Linked DNA regions of Nothobranchius furzeri. The protein of the gene in region 1 binds, or shares a complex with, the protein of each later gene. Links are inferred from orthologs where the notes say so. Each region holds a gene or a part of one and is shown in the gene's direction. Other genes may lie near its edges.

Region 1 (3,653 bases):
TCACTTCTTTGTTTACTAACGTATCTTTCAATGTTGGCTGGCTCCGTGTTTTTGTTAGAGATGCCGCTGCGAACTGAGACTTGAGCAGACCGACGATTCGCTGTGGCGACACCTGAAGGGATAAAAGCCGAATGAGAACGTAGTTTGTTTTGAAGCTCGTCTTTTCCCGCATGTGGAATGTCCAGTATGCACACATTACATCGCCTTCGCTGTCCAGTTTAAAATACCACCAAAATATTTAGCTTTCCTGTGGAGACGCATTAGCTCTGTGTTAGCTTACTAGCTACTAGCATGTTATGGCGTCTGATCCTCCGTCTGCCGTAAATGGTGACGTAATGGTTTTGTTTTCTTCCAAAAAAACAGACTACTGATGTAGAGGAACTTGTTGAGATTAATAATAATAATAATAATAATGCATTGAACTTATATAGCGCTTTTCTAGACCCCCAAAGACGCTTTCACACACTCTCACATTCACACACTGCTAGTGATGGTAAGCTACTTGTAGCCACAGCCGCCCTGGGGAGGTCTGACAGAGGCGAGGCTGCCATTTGGCGCCGTCGGCCCCTCTGACCACCACTAACACAGGCAAGTTGGGTGAAGTGTCTTGCCCAAGGACACAACAGCAGGATACCCCTGGCGGGAGCTGGAATCGATCCCATGACCCTCCAATCATGAGGCAACCCGCTCTACCACCTGAGCTACTGCTGCCCCAATTAAAACTAAGCCATTGTTATTCCGTTTGTAAATCTCGTCTTATTTGTTGTTTTATGAAGTTAAATCTGATCTTTTTCACCCGATTCTGATCCTTTAAAATTTATGTGATTGGATCGGAGCATCCTTATTACAAACTCGGGGAAATCTGGAAAATGCTCTTTTTTCTCTATTTCTAGATCTGACGATGGCCATGCAGAAGTTGTACCAAACATTTGTTGCACAGGCTGCCCAGCTTCAGTCTGTCCATGAGAACGTTAAGGTCCGTATTTAATAAAGATTGTTGTAGTTTTGTCATTTGTATAAGAAGCTCAAGATTTCTACATTTTACGAAACAGTTTCATCGTTATGTCTTTCTCCTGTCCTCTATGTTCCCCTCTGATCTGTTGTCTGATAGATTTTGAAGCACCAGTACCTTTCCTACCGAAGAGCCTTCCTGGAAGACTCCACGGACATCTTTGAATCCAAACGGGCGTCTAACAGGAAATGGCAGAGTTCGCCGCGAGTCACAACCGGGCCCGCCCCCTTCTCCAGCGTACCCAACGCTGCAGCTGTTGCTATGGCAGCCACGTTGACCCAGCAACAGCAGCCAACTCCAGGTCTGACTGCCTTCAAGTTCTAGAAAGTTCTCCTCTTCCTCACCCTATTTATGATTGGGAAGAGACGTATTAAATCTGACATTTTGGTGGTAAAACGTTGAAAAGGGGCCAGAGAGGAGGATTCAGAACAGTTGGTCAAAACGTTTTTGACGCAAAGTTGTGTATACCTTCCGTTTGAATGTTGTCAAAATGGGTTTGGGGCTTTTGCGGTGATTTAGACGTAGTTATCAAACATACTCCCAGAGTGATCAGTCTAAATATTGTGCCAATCTGTAGGTTTTTGTACAACTGGGCGAGGAGTTGGTGTTAAACAGCGTTCGATTCATCAGAATGTAACTTTCTTCTGTCGAGGCCAAAATACGTGAGATTCAAAAGTAGAACAAAGCCGCTGTTGTTTCAAAGCACATGGGTTGTTCAAGGTTTAGAGAACTTTTGCTTGAAGTCGTCGTTGTAAATACTTGGAACAACTTGAGCTGGGAAAATATCTCCGATGCCTCGTTAAAGTGTTACCGTTGTTAAAATTGTTGGAACAGGCAAATAATTTTAAAGAATGTTTTAAAATAAAAGCTCGGAGGTGTTTAAAATTGTAGATTTTATTTTATTTCATTTTTTTTTAAGTTTTGGTTAATTATCAGGGCACATGAACGAACAAAGCTACGATGTACATGAGCACGATGCCGTTAAAGGTAGAGCTTAGTCCAAATGTTTAAAGCGATATTTAAACAGGACCGTAAAGACGGGGAAGTCTGCTGCTTAATCTGCTTGTTAAGGGAATTTCATTATTTTTTTTAATGAAAATTGCTTTCATACATCGAATTTCTCTTGCTTGTAAAGCAGGAAATGTGGAAACTTTCTTTTTACTTCATCACAAACAAGTCTCGTAAAAACCGAAGTTGAGATCACTTCATGTGTTAAAAGTGCCTACTTTAAATTTGTTGATGCATTCCTTTTTTTTTTAAGCCAAATCAACGTCTTCATATTTTCTTGTACAGTCGTGAGCTTGTGCCCGTTCTCCAGTAGGTTGTTTTTACAAGTTAACCCTAGAAATAGTTAAAGGATGGGATTAAATATCATAAAATTGCATTTCTCTCATTAAGTGTTATCTTTACTGCTACATTTTAACTCTTAAAACAAAGCTAAATCACACCTTACATTATTTATTTAGCTATTTATTGTAAAATATATATTTTATATATATTTATATAGCTGAATCACTCTTGAGCAATGCAGGCGACTGGTCTGAGATCCATCGAGAGGCGTCTAGAAGCTGTAATCGCCAGCAAAGGCTTTTCTACAAAGTACTACATGAAGGGTATTCAATACTTATTCCCTGTGCCATTTCGCTTTATTTTTTGACTCAACAGTTGTAAACGTAAATGTTCCAATTCCTTTGCATCAAATCAATATTTGGCTTGATGCAACATCTGGTGCAAGTTGTCAGTAGCCCACTTAGAAATACCCTTACTGATAAAAATGCTGATACTTATTCTCCTCATCAATAGTTGGGAGTATCCTTGTTGGACATGTTGCATGTCTTCAGACAAAATGAAAAAGGCTCAGATCTGAGATTATAAACCTGAACTGAAAGGCCTGATCACTTGTTGCTAGCCTCAGTAAAGCGGAGTGATCAGTGTGTTTGTAGAAAGTTGTGAACAAATAGCTGAAGTTATGTTTTCAGTTACCTGTAGCTCCTTTTTAAACCCTAATGCTTCAGTCCTTGTACCAGACCACATGAAAGGCATTAGTTCTGTTTTACTCTGTGAATCCTACAGGCTTGAAAACGGTTCGTAAACTTGAGGAAGGAACCGGTGTTTATGTATTAGACCACTTGGCAAAAAGAAATAAAATTCTAAATCTGTTTTTTTGGCGGTTTATCACCTGCAGCTTTTCACTGACACTCAAATCGGATGCTTTTATCTTTGTATCTATAAAAAGCACCAAAGATATATTTTTGGATCCAATGGGGTAATATTTCTACCCATTATTAGTTAAAGCATACATACAGGAAAATGTTTATTTATATAGCATTTTTCACAGACAAAAACACACAATAAACAACAGAATTACAGTAAAACATTAAATGAAACAACTGCATTACAATAAACTCGGATACCAATAAAAGTGGTAGGTGACTCTTGGCGATCTGGGATTATGGAAAAACAAACTATAAATGATAGACTAGTGGTGGGGAGGGAAAATGGAAAAGACAGCCAAAACTAAAGCTGAGGAGACTGAAGGTGTGTAAGCAGTTTGGGGAGGGCGGAGGTGGCAAAACGGACCGTAGATCAGAGATCTCCAAGTCAGGTCCTCGGCGTCCCCTGTCCAGCATGTTTCTGTGGT
Region 2 (4,048 bases), on another chromosome or scaffold:
TGATTACGTATCTCCTAGGCAACCGGGGCAGGACCAAGACATCAAGAAACACCGAAGAGTTTGAGATAAAACTGGGTGTTAATTGGCAAGTATCTAGCAATATAATATGTTGCTATACAGGAGAGACGATACGATATATTGAGATACTAAAAGGCTGACTATTTTTGCAATTTTTAAGTGAATTTAACTGGGAAAACTCAGACAATTCCAGTGTTTTCGCAAGATATCGGTCTGTCAGACTGAAGGAGGAAGAAACTGCTGCCACCTAGCTGTCAGTGTTTGATCTGCACCACACAAAAGAAATACAAGAAATGTTGGCATGTAAATTCTCAATAATAGATACTCTGCTTTTAAATATCGATTCTGTATCATAAACCGAAATGTTGTGATATTTCAGTGCATTGAATTATTTTTACATCCCTAGAGTGTTATATGAATACATCTCACCAAAATCCAGAAACTGCTTCATTGAAAGAGGGGAAGGAGAAAATCTGGAGTAATAATCGATATCCTTCCCTACTGACACGCTGTTCCTCAGAAACCTCAGAAGCCTCATGTTGACCGGGTTTACTAGTTATTCGGAGGAAGCAGGTGGCTTCCGAGCCACACTTAGTGTTATTTAACGACACTAGCTCGTTGAGCAAACCCAGCAGCTCGCAAACACGCTGTTAAATTTATTATTGTTCAGTTACGTTGCTAATTGATGCAGGTTCAGCATCCATAACTACGGCCGCGCTGCAATGTTTGTGTATCGTCCGGTGTGTACTTCAAGTGATCGCTGCTAAATCCACCGAAGCAGAAAAGTCAACAAGCTAATTCAAAGAGTTACTACAAAGTTCAAGAGGATTCATCGTTGTTGCCTGGCGTATACCGACACGAAGTTCTGTTGAAAGGCTGTATTTAAAATTATTGTCAATATTGACGGTAAATTGCGAAAATAAAGACGTATAAATGCACGATAATGTCCTAAATAATGTCTTTTATTCACGTGTGTATGAAAGAAGAAGAGTTGATAGTGCTCGTTATTCTGTAACTATCTTGCCTTTGCATACTCTTTGTAAAGGCCAAACTATATATTTTTCCGAATGTTTGTCTATCAGGCAGTCAAATGAGCCTATCATGTACCTCAAATCTAATCATAACTCTGATTGGATAAAACAGTTGCCAAATAAATTAATAGGCGGAATTATGTCCCTGCAGACAAAATTCAGGGCATACGAGAATGCCGCGTCTCGGGTGTCGTCACTTCCTTTAGGTGGCCAGATAATTGCCTGTTAAAGGAAATGTCGGTTCACAGGCCCACGTTTTTAGCAATGTGTTATTGATTTTGGCTCTATATTCCTCGGAAGGTAACGTTGATTAGCGTGTGATTTCATTCATTTCCTGCGTATCTGTGCAAAGTTACTTAAATAGACGCAGTGGGGATTTTAGGAACTTCAGTCGGAGGAGTTGGTCATAGCGACCCGCCAAAAGCCACAAGATTCGGCAAGGAAGTGGCCGTTTTAAACGACACGTAACGGCTGTGTTTAACTTCTTGTGAGGATAATGAGTGGCGGATTCAACTTCGGACAGAATGCAGGGTTCGCCTTTGGAGCGCAGAAGACCACTGCCGCTGCCCCCAACGCGGGTTTTACATTAACCAGCTCAGCAGCTCCGGGAGGGGGGTTCGCCTTTGGAAATGCCAACCAGACCAACCCCACCGCCTCTTTCAGCTTTGGCACCCCAGCCAAGAGTTCCGCAGGCGGCACGGGGTTGTCTTTTAGCACGCCTACTGCCTCGTTTGCTCTTGCTACCCCTCAGACAACACCGGCAGCAACAGGGTTGAGTCTGGGCTCTGCAGCAACTCCGGCTGCCGGGTCAGGGTTCACCTTAGGCAGCCTGCTAACCTCGCAGCCCCCAGCTGCTGCACCAGCAGTAGCAACAGTGGCACCAAGCGGGGGAGGATTCACCTTCGGTGCTCCCACACAAGTCCAGCCTCAGTCAGTGGTAGCACCCACAGCCACGACAGCAGCAAGTGGCATGTCCATTGGAGGGTTCAGTTTTGGTGCTCCCAAAGTCCAGGTGACCTCAGCTGCAGCCCCCACTGCTGCCACAGGAGCGGGATTCAGCTTTGGAACCCCTGCAACCACCGCCTCTGCAGCTCCAACCACCCAGGGTGGAGGTTTTAACTTTGGGATTAAACCTTCATCAACCCCAGCCCCTACAGCAACCACCCAGGTGGCTCCGACTCCAGGCCCTACTCTGTTTGCGACACCCATAACCACCACCGCCGCCACTACAGCAGCAGCTCCAGGATTCATGTTTGGTGCAGCTCCAATTTCGGCTCCACTTTCATCGGTGAGCACTGCAACCACCACAGCAGCTGGAGGGGGCTTATCCTTCCCACTCAAACCTCTGAGTTCAGCAACCACCACCTCTGCTCCGGCCTCCATCCTAACTGCAGCCGCCACCACAGGCACAGCTACGGGCTTCATACTGGGACTCAAAACTACATCCACCACAAGCACAACCACAACAGCCACAACAATCGGCACCACCACCACCACTGCTCCTCCTGTGATGACCTATGCCCAGCTGGAGAGCCTCATAAACAAGTGGAGTCTTGAGCTGGAGGACCAAGAAAGACATTTCTTACAGCAAGCGACTCAGGTGAATGCCTGGGACCGCATGCTGGTGGAGAACGGAGAGAAGATCACATCCCTGCACAAGGAGCTGGAGAAGGTGAAGCTGGACCAGAGGAGGCTGAACCAGGAGCTGGACTTCATCCTGTCCCAGCAGAAGGAGCTGGAGGACCTGCTGTGTCCGCTGGAGGAGTCCGTGAAGGAGCAGAGCGGAACCATCTACATGCAGAATGCCGATGAGGAGCGTGAGAGAACATACAAGCTCGCTGAGAACGTAGACGCACAGCTGAAGAGGATGTCTCAGGACCTGAAGGAGATAATTGAGCACCTGAACACATCCAGCGGCCCAGCTGACTCCAGTGACCCAGTAAGATCAGATCTAAGTCATCCTTAAACCTGTCATTATGATGTTTGCCTTTTTCATTCATCTCTTTCTCTCTGTTTTAGCTCCAGCAGATTTGTAAAATTCTCAACGCCCACATGGATTCGCTGCAGTGGATCGACCAGAACTCGGTTCTCCTGCAGAGAAGAGTGGAAGAAGTGTCTAAACTCTGCGACACCCAACGCAAGGAGCAGGAGAAGAGCTTTCGTTTAACCTTTGACTGATCTGTTGATGAGTTTAACTCTGCATAAACATTATGCTCTTTTGTTTGGATTTACTCATTTCACTTTCTGTTTTGGTTTTATTAAGATAAATATTTTCTCAATAGTTCTTTATAAAGTTAATTGATCATATTAAATGTTCTGGGTAGTGTGATTAAATAAAACAATTGCAGTGGATCTCATTCAGCCTGATGTGGTGTGTCATGACTCTAATTCTCACATCTAATCTGAAACATGAAAGATCTACCAGACTTTTTGAGTTGAAATAATCTAAATTACTTAATCATTTTAGAGCTTTAACTGTAATTTGTCTCAGTAATGATCTACAAGCTGCTTAATTCTACCTGAGCCCTAGATTAGATGTAAAAACACAAGGAGGCGGGTGCAAGAAATGATAAATGACCCGCACTTGTATAGCACCTCTCAGAGTAAGGACTCCAAAGCACTTTACACTACAGTGTATCATTCATCCATTCACACACTGATGGTGATGAGCTACGATGTAGCCACAGCTGCCCTGGGGCGCACTGACAAGCAGAAGCATTGGTTTTCTTAACAGCTCCAGATAAGGTAGTAGAACATGTTGGCCAACCTCACAGGTATGTTGCAAAACACTTTGAGATTTTCATTCTAATACAATGTTAAAAAATACAATTCACCATTTCTACAGTAAAAAATTCCCAGGAAATTAAACAGCCATGTCACAAATATAAAAATGGACTACAGTTTGTCCTAATTTGCAGAATCTGCTAAAAATAAGAGCTTCATTGTCATCCGCTGCTTCCCACCCAAAGCATCGAGATTGATTGTTCCATCATAGGCTG
Region 3 (4,374 bases), on another chromosome or scaffold:
AATAAAAATACCTCAACCAGGAATTAAAGTAAAGCAGAAGTCAAAACATTTTAGATTGGCATTCAGATGTGAATTTTATATATTTATCTTCATTTAAATTGTAATTATTCTGTAAGACATTTTTCCAGGATGCTGTCTCATTTTCAGAATCTTGAATTTTTATCATTTTTGTTGTATATTTATATATTTATAGCGTATTTTTCTTATAAACTACATACCTGGAGAGAAAAAACATGGATATAGATCATCAGTAATTATTTAGAAATTGTAAATCCAGCTTTAGGAGTAACTAATGTCAAATTCAGGTAGATGGTTTAACAGAATGTATTTATTGAGTATTAGAACTATTTAAAAAGATTATTATGAAAAAGTTATTTTTCTAAGTCCAGTTTTTGGATCACAACAAAATTAGATGATTTTACAATATTACACTTTATGAATCAGCTCTTTGACAACTATGATGTAAAAAAGGAATATCAAAAAGTAACACGTGTTAAACAGTGGTTCACAAGAACTTGAGCTTTAATAAAAAGGATGATTTAGAACAATGCGTGCCAGAAAAGATCACAACGTTGTCGCAAGATGTCAGATAAAAAAGAGCTTTCCATTCTCTGGTGGTGTTTATGTTTTTAAAATAGCATCAATATGTGAAGGCATCAATAACTTACTATATACTAGTATAAATACAAGCTCATTCATTAATTTCTATACCTTTTATTGTTTTTAAAGGAGGACATGTTGAGTTTATATGGACATTTAAAAGAAAAACTTCTGTGGCACGTTCTTTCACTCTTGTTTCAAATAATGTCAGATTTTTCATTTCTAAATAATTTTGTGCCACTTGAATTATTTCACTGACAGAAACGTATGCAGCTCATGGAACAAGAACAAAATAAGTTTGTGTGAAGATTTTTGTTTTATCACAAAACGTCACACAGTTGTGCAGCTATGTCCATGTGCCCATAAACTGTGTTACATAATGAAGTAGCTCTGGGGCTTGTGCCCCAGATGACCAGATCATTGCACAGTTGAGTCTGGAAGCAGGAGTTCAGCACCCATCTGCTCTTTGTGATTCACGCTTCAGTGTTTTTGTTTAGAGCCGACAAAAAAACAAACAGAAAATATCATTCCATTGGCTGCATTGTATTAGGTCATTTAAAATATATATGTTTATTAAAAGTATCAATTAAGACAAGTGGCAGGGATAAATGAAAAATGAAAAGATTTGTTTCATTTATTTCACGTGTACGGTGTTAGGGTTGTGATGTGTCCCAAGTATTTTACTCTCGATGCTTCTAATCATTTTTAATATAAGTTCTATTTAAAGCAATGCAGGGATACAAATATACGTACAAAGAACAAATATGTACACTGTTAAATATGTTATGTTAGTCGGAAAACAAAAAATGACACACATGAAAATAATAGGTATCTTTTGCTTTTGACTAGGATTCCCCAAGTACCCTGAAGGAGGCATGTGACGACAGACGCATGCGCACCGTTATACAGTCTGAATTGACCAATCACCGACGACTTCAGAAATACCGGGGTATACTTTCTGCGGACTACGCTTGCCTGTGAACGAAACTATCTAAAAAGCACATTTATTCACTTACATGAGGCGAACAGGCTGAACTGTAATTTCATCCAACTTTAAAACAGGTATAATAATCGTCTCCATTCAACTGTAGAGAAATTTAACATCAATTTAAATGAAGTCGAAACATGTGCGAGCGTTAGCATCTTAGCCAGCTCGCTAACCGTTTAGCGTCGCCGGTTGATTGTAACTAGGCTATGTTGTAGCATGCTACCACGGTTTTGGAATGTCTGGTACGAGTTTTCACATTTCTTAAGCAGTTTCAATGTCTGAACTTATCTATCGAACGGTATTCTGTTGACGTCCGTAAAGATTGATCTCTCAACTCGTCAAGCACATCATGCGCGCGCTGCAACTGTTCAGCTGTAATCTTTCTCATGTTTACCTTTCAAGCCTTTTCCCCCATGACGCATTTTTACGTTGGTAGATAAATAGTACAGTTTGTTATAACTCCAGGCAGCATAAAGAATTATAGGTTAGACCATCCAATTTTTAAAAGTAGTGTTTTATATCTTCAGTTATGCTGTATCTCAATGTAAACACAGGGTAAACTTGTTTTTATTTAATTAATCAAAAAGCTGCAAGGCAAGGAGGAGCTTTTATCCATGCATCATAAAAGTTATAACGTGACTGTAGAAGTGCACACTTGTCTAAAGTGAACATTGACTTCTTTGGGCTCTGAGCTGACGCATCTAAGATGAATCATAAACTGTAAAACATAGAGTATGTTTTTGGGTTCAGTTGTTTTTTAACTAAGGAGTTTGAAATGATTGTGATTGTAGTTGTTTACTATTTGATTACGGAGCATCATGTTCCCTTCAAGACAGTTGCACTCTGTCATTACTGACAGAGATACTGGCAAGCTATCCTGTCATGTAATCTGTTGTCTTTAATTACCTCTAACACAAAGTCTGTACAGTGTCAAACATTGTAAAATCACAACGTATTTTTGTTTATATTCCACATACTATTTTAAAGTTAAGCAAATTATGAAAATATTATATATTTTTTAGTGGAATATTTTATTGCACAAACCCAGACCCGCAAAACACTTACCATAGAGAACTGTTCAGTGTTTTCATTTCAAGTAAATCACATTTATAAACTTCTCTACCTGTTAAGAGTCATGGATGCAGAAGGGTTTGGAGAGCTTTTGCAGCAGGCAGAACAATTGGCTGCAGAAACAGAAGCTGTGTCTGAACTGCCACATGTGGAAAGGAACCTTCAGGAGATCCAGCAGGCTGGGGAAAGGCTTCGATCCCGCACCTTAACTCGCACCTCTCAAGATGCTGCAGATGTGAAAGCGTAAGCAACCTTTTTGGTTATTAAACCCTTTTCTTCCCCAGGTTATTAATCTCAGGCATGATGTTCAATTGATAGATTACTTTGCCTGCCAGCCTAGCCTGCCATCTAGTGGTGTCAATGTAAAATTACTTCTCTGCCAGTTGAAACCTCTCCAATCTTTTGTTCTTGTAACAGGTCCATCCTCCTTGGTACCAGAGGTTTAGACGTCTTCCACATTTCACAGAGACTGGAAACTCTAAGTGCTGCCACCACCTTTGAGCCCCTGGAACCAGTCAAGGACACTGACATACAGGTATGAATGAAACGAGAAGCCTTGGGTCCTGACACCTGCTAGCAAGTCTCTAATGCTTCAGATGCCTTACTAGTGCAAGCCTCATGTAAGATGAATAAGATAAACTTTTAATGCTCTAATGGTTGCGTGTGCCAAGCCTTTTTAAACATCCCCAACAGGACTTAAGGCTGCCAAATGTTTTCTAACTGATTGCTTATATTATTCCCTTGACATCAGTGGAATATGATTCTGTGCTGTGACACAGTGAGGCTTTCAGGAAGGTTGATGTTATAGGGCTCATAACAAACACTGTAAAACTAGATAATTGTGATTAATTCAGTCTCTTATCAGAGATAAGTGAAAAGAAAAACACTTAAAATTCTGAGCTCAGTGTTGGAAATAATCCCCTTGGATTTTAGCTTGGCAAGCCATCATCTATCTATCTATCTATCTATCTATCTATCTATCTATCCATCTATTCATCTATCTATCTATCTATCTATCTATCTATCTATCTATCTATCTATCTATCTATCTATCTATCTATCTATCTATCTATCTATCTATCTATATCTATCTATCTATCTATCTATCTATCTATCTATCTATCTATCTATCTATCTATCTATCTATCTATCTATCTATCTATCTATCTATCTATCTATCTATCTATTATCTATCTATCTATCTATCTATCTATCTATCTATCTATCTATCTATCTATCTATCTATCTATCTCTATCTATCTATCTATCTATCTATCTATCTATCTATCTATCTATCTATCTATCTATCTATCTATCTATCTATCTATTATCTATCTATCTATCTATCTATCTATCTATCTATCTATCTATCTATCTATCTATCATCTATCATCTATCATCTATCATCTATCTATCTATCTATCTATCTATCTATCTATCTATCTATCTATCTATCTATCTATCTATCTATCTATCTATCTATCTATCTATCTATTATCCATCATCTATTATCTATCTATTATCCATCATCTATTATCTATCTATTATCCATCATCTATTATCTATCTATTATCTATCTATCTATCTATCTATCTATCTATCTATCTATCTATCTATCTGTCTATCTGTCTATCTGTCTGTCTGTCTGTCTGTCTGTCTGTCTGTCTGTCTGTCTGTCTGTCTGTCTGTCTGTCTGTCTGTCAGGGCTGGGGGTA

Evidence for each region.
Region 2: nup58 (region 1) and nup62l share a complex: the UniProt entries of both Homo sapiens proteins name them as parts of the p62 complex. The link is inferred for Nothobranchius furzeri from reciprocal best matches to the Homo sapiens genes NUP58 and NUP62.
Region 3: nup58 (region 1) and nup93 share a complex: the UniProt entries of both Homo sapiens proteins name them as parts of the p62 complex. The link is inferred for Nothobranchius furzeri from reciprocal best matches to the Homo sapiens genes NUP58 and NUP93.

What each region holds. Positions count from the first base shown.
Region 1 is NC_091747.1:56,994,408-56,998,060, forward strand, and holds part of nup58 (nucleoporin p58/p45), read left to right. Parts: intron 1-893; coding exon 894-976; intron 977-1,111; coding exon 1,112-1,313; intron 1,314-3,653. UniProt on the Homo sapiens protein: Component of the nuclear pore complex, a complex required for the trafficking across the nuclear membrane.
Region 2 is NC_091754.1:20,876,508-20,880,555, reverse strand, and holds nup62l (nucleoporin 62 like), read left to right. Parts: upstream 1-1,354; 5' UTR 1,355-1,545; coding exon 1,546-2,988; intron 2,989-3,068; coding exon 3,069-3,227; 3' UTR 3,228-3,406; downstream 3,407-4,048. Other genes in the region: pdk1 (pyruvate dehydrogenase (acetyl-transferring) kinase isozyme 1, mitochondrial), read right to left, coding at 448-556. UniProt on the Homo sapiens protein: Essential component of the nuclear pore complex. The N-terminal is probably involved in nucleocytoplasmic transport.
Region 3 is NC_091744.1:86,664,958-86,669,331, forward strand, and holds the start of nup93 (nuclear pore complex protein Nup93), read left to right. Parts: upstream 1-1,507; 5' UTR 1,508-1,662; intron 1,663-2,719; 5' UTR 2,720-2,723; coding exon 2,724-2,902; intron 2,903-3,076; coding exon 3,077-3,194; intron 3,195-4,374. UniProt on the Homo sapiens protein: Plays a role in the nuclear pore complex (NPC) assembly and/or maintenance. May anchor nucleoporins, but not NUP153 and TPR, to the NPC. During renal development, regulates podocyte migration and proliferation through SMAD4 signaling.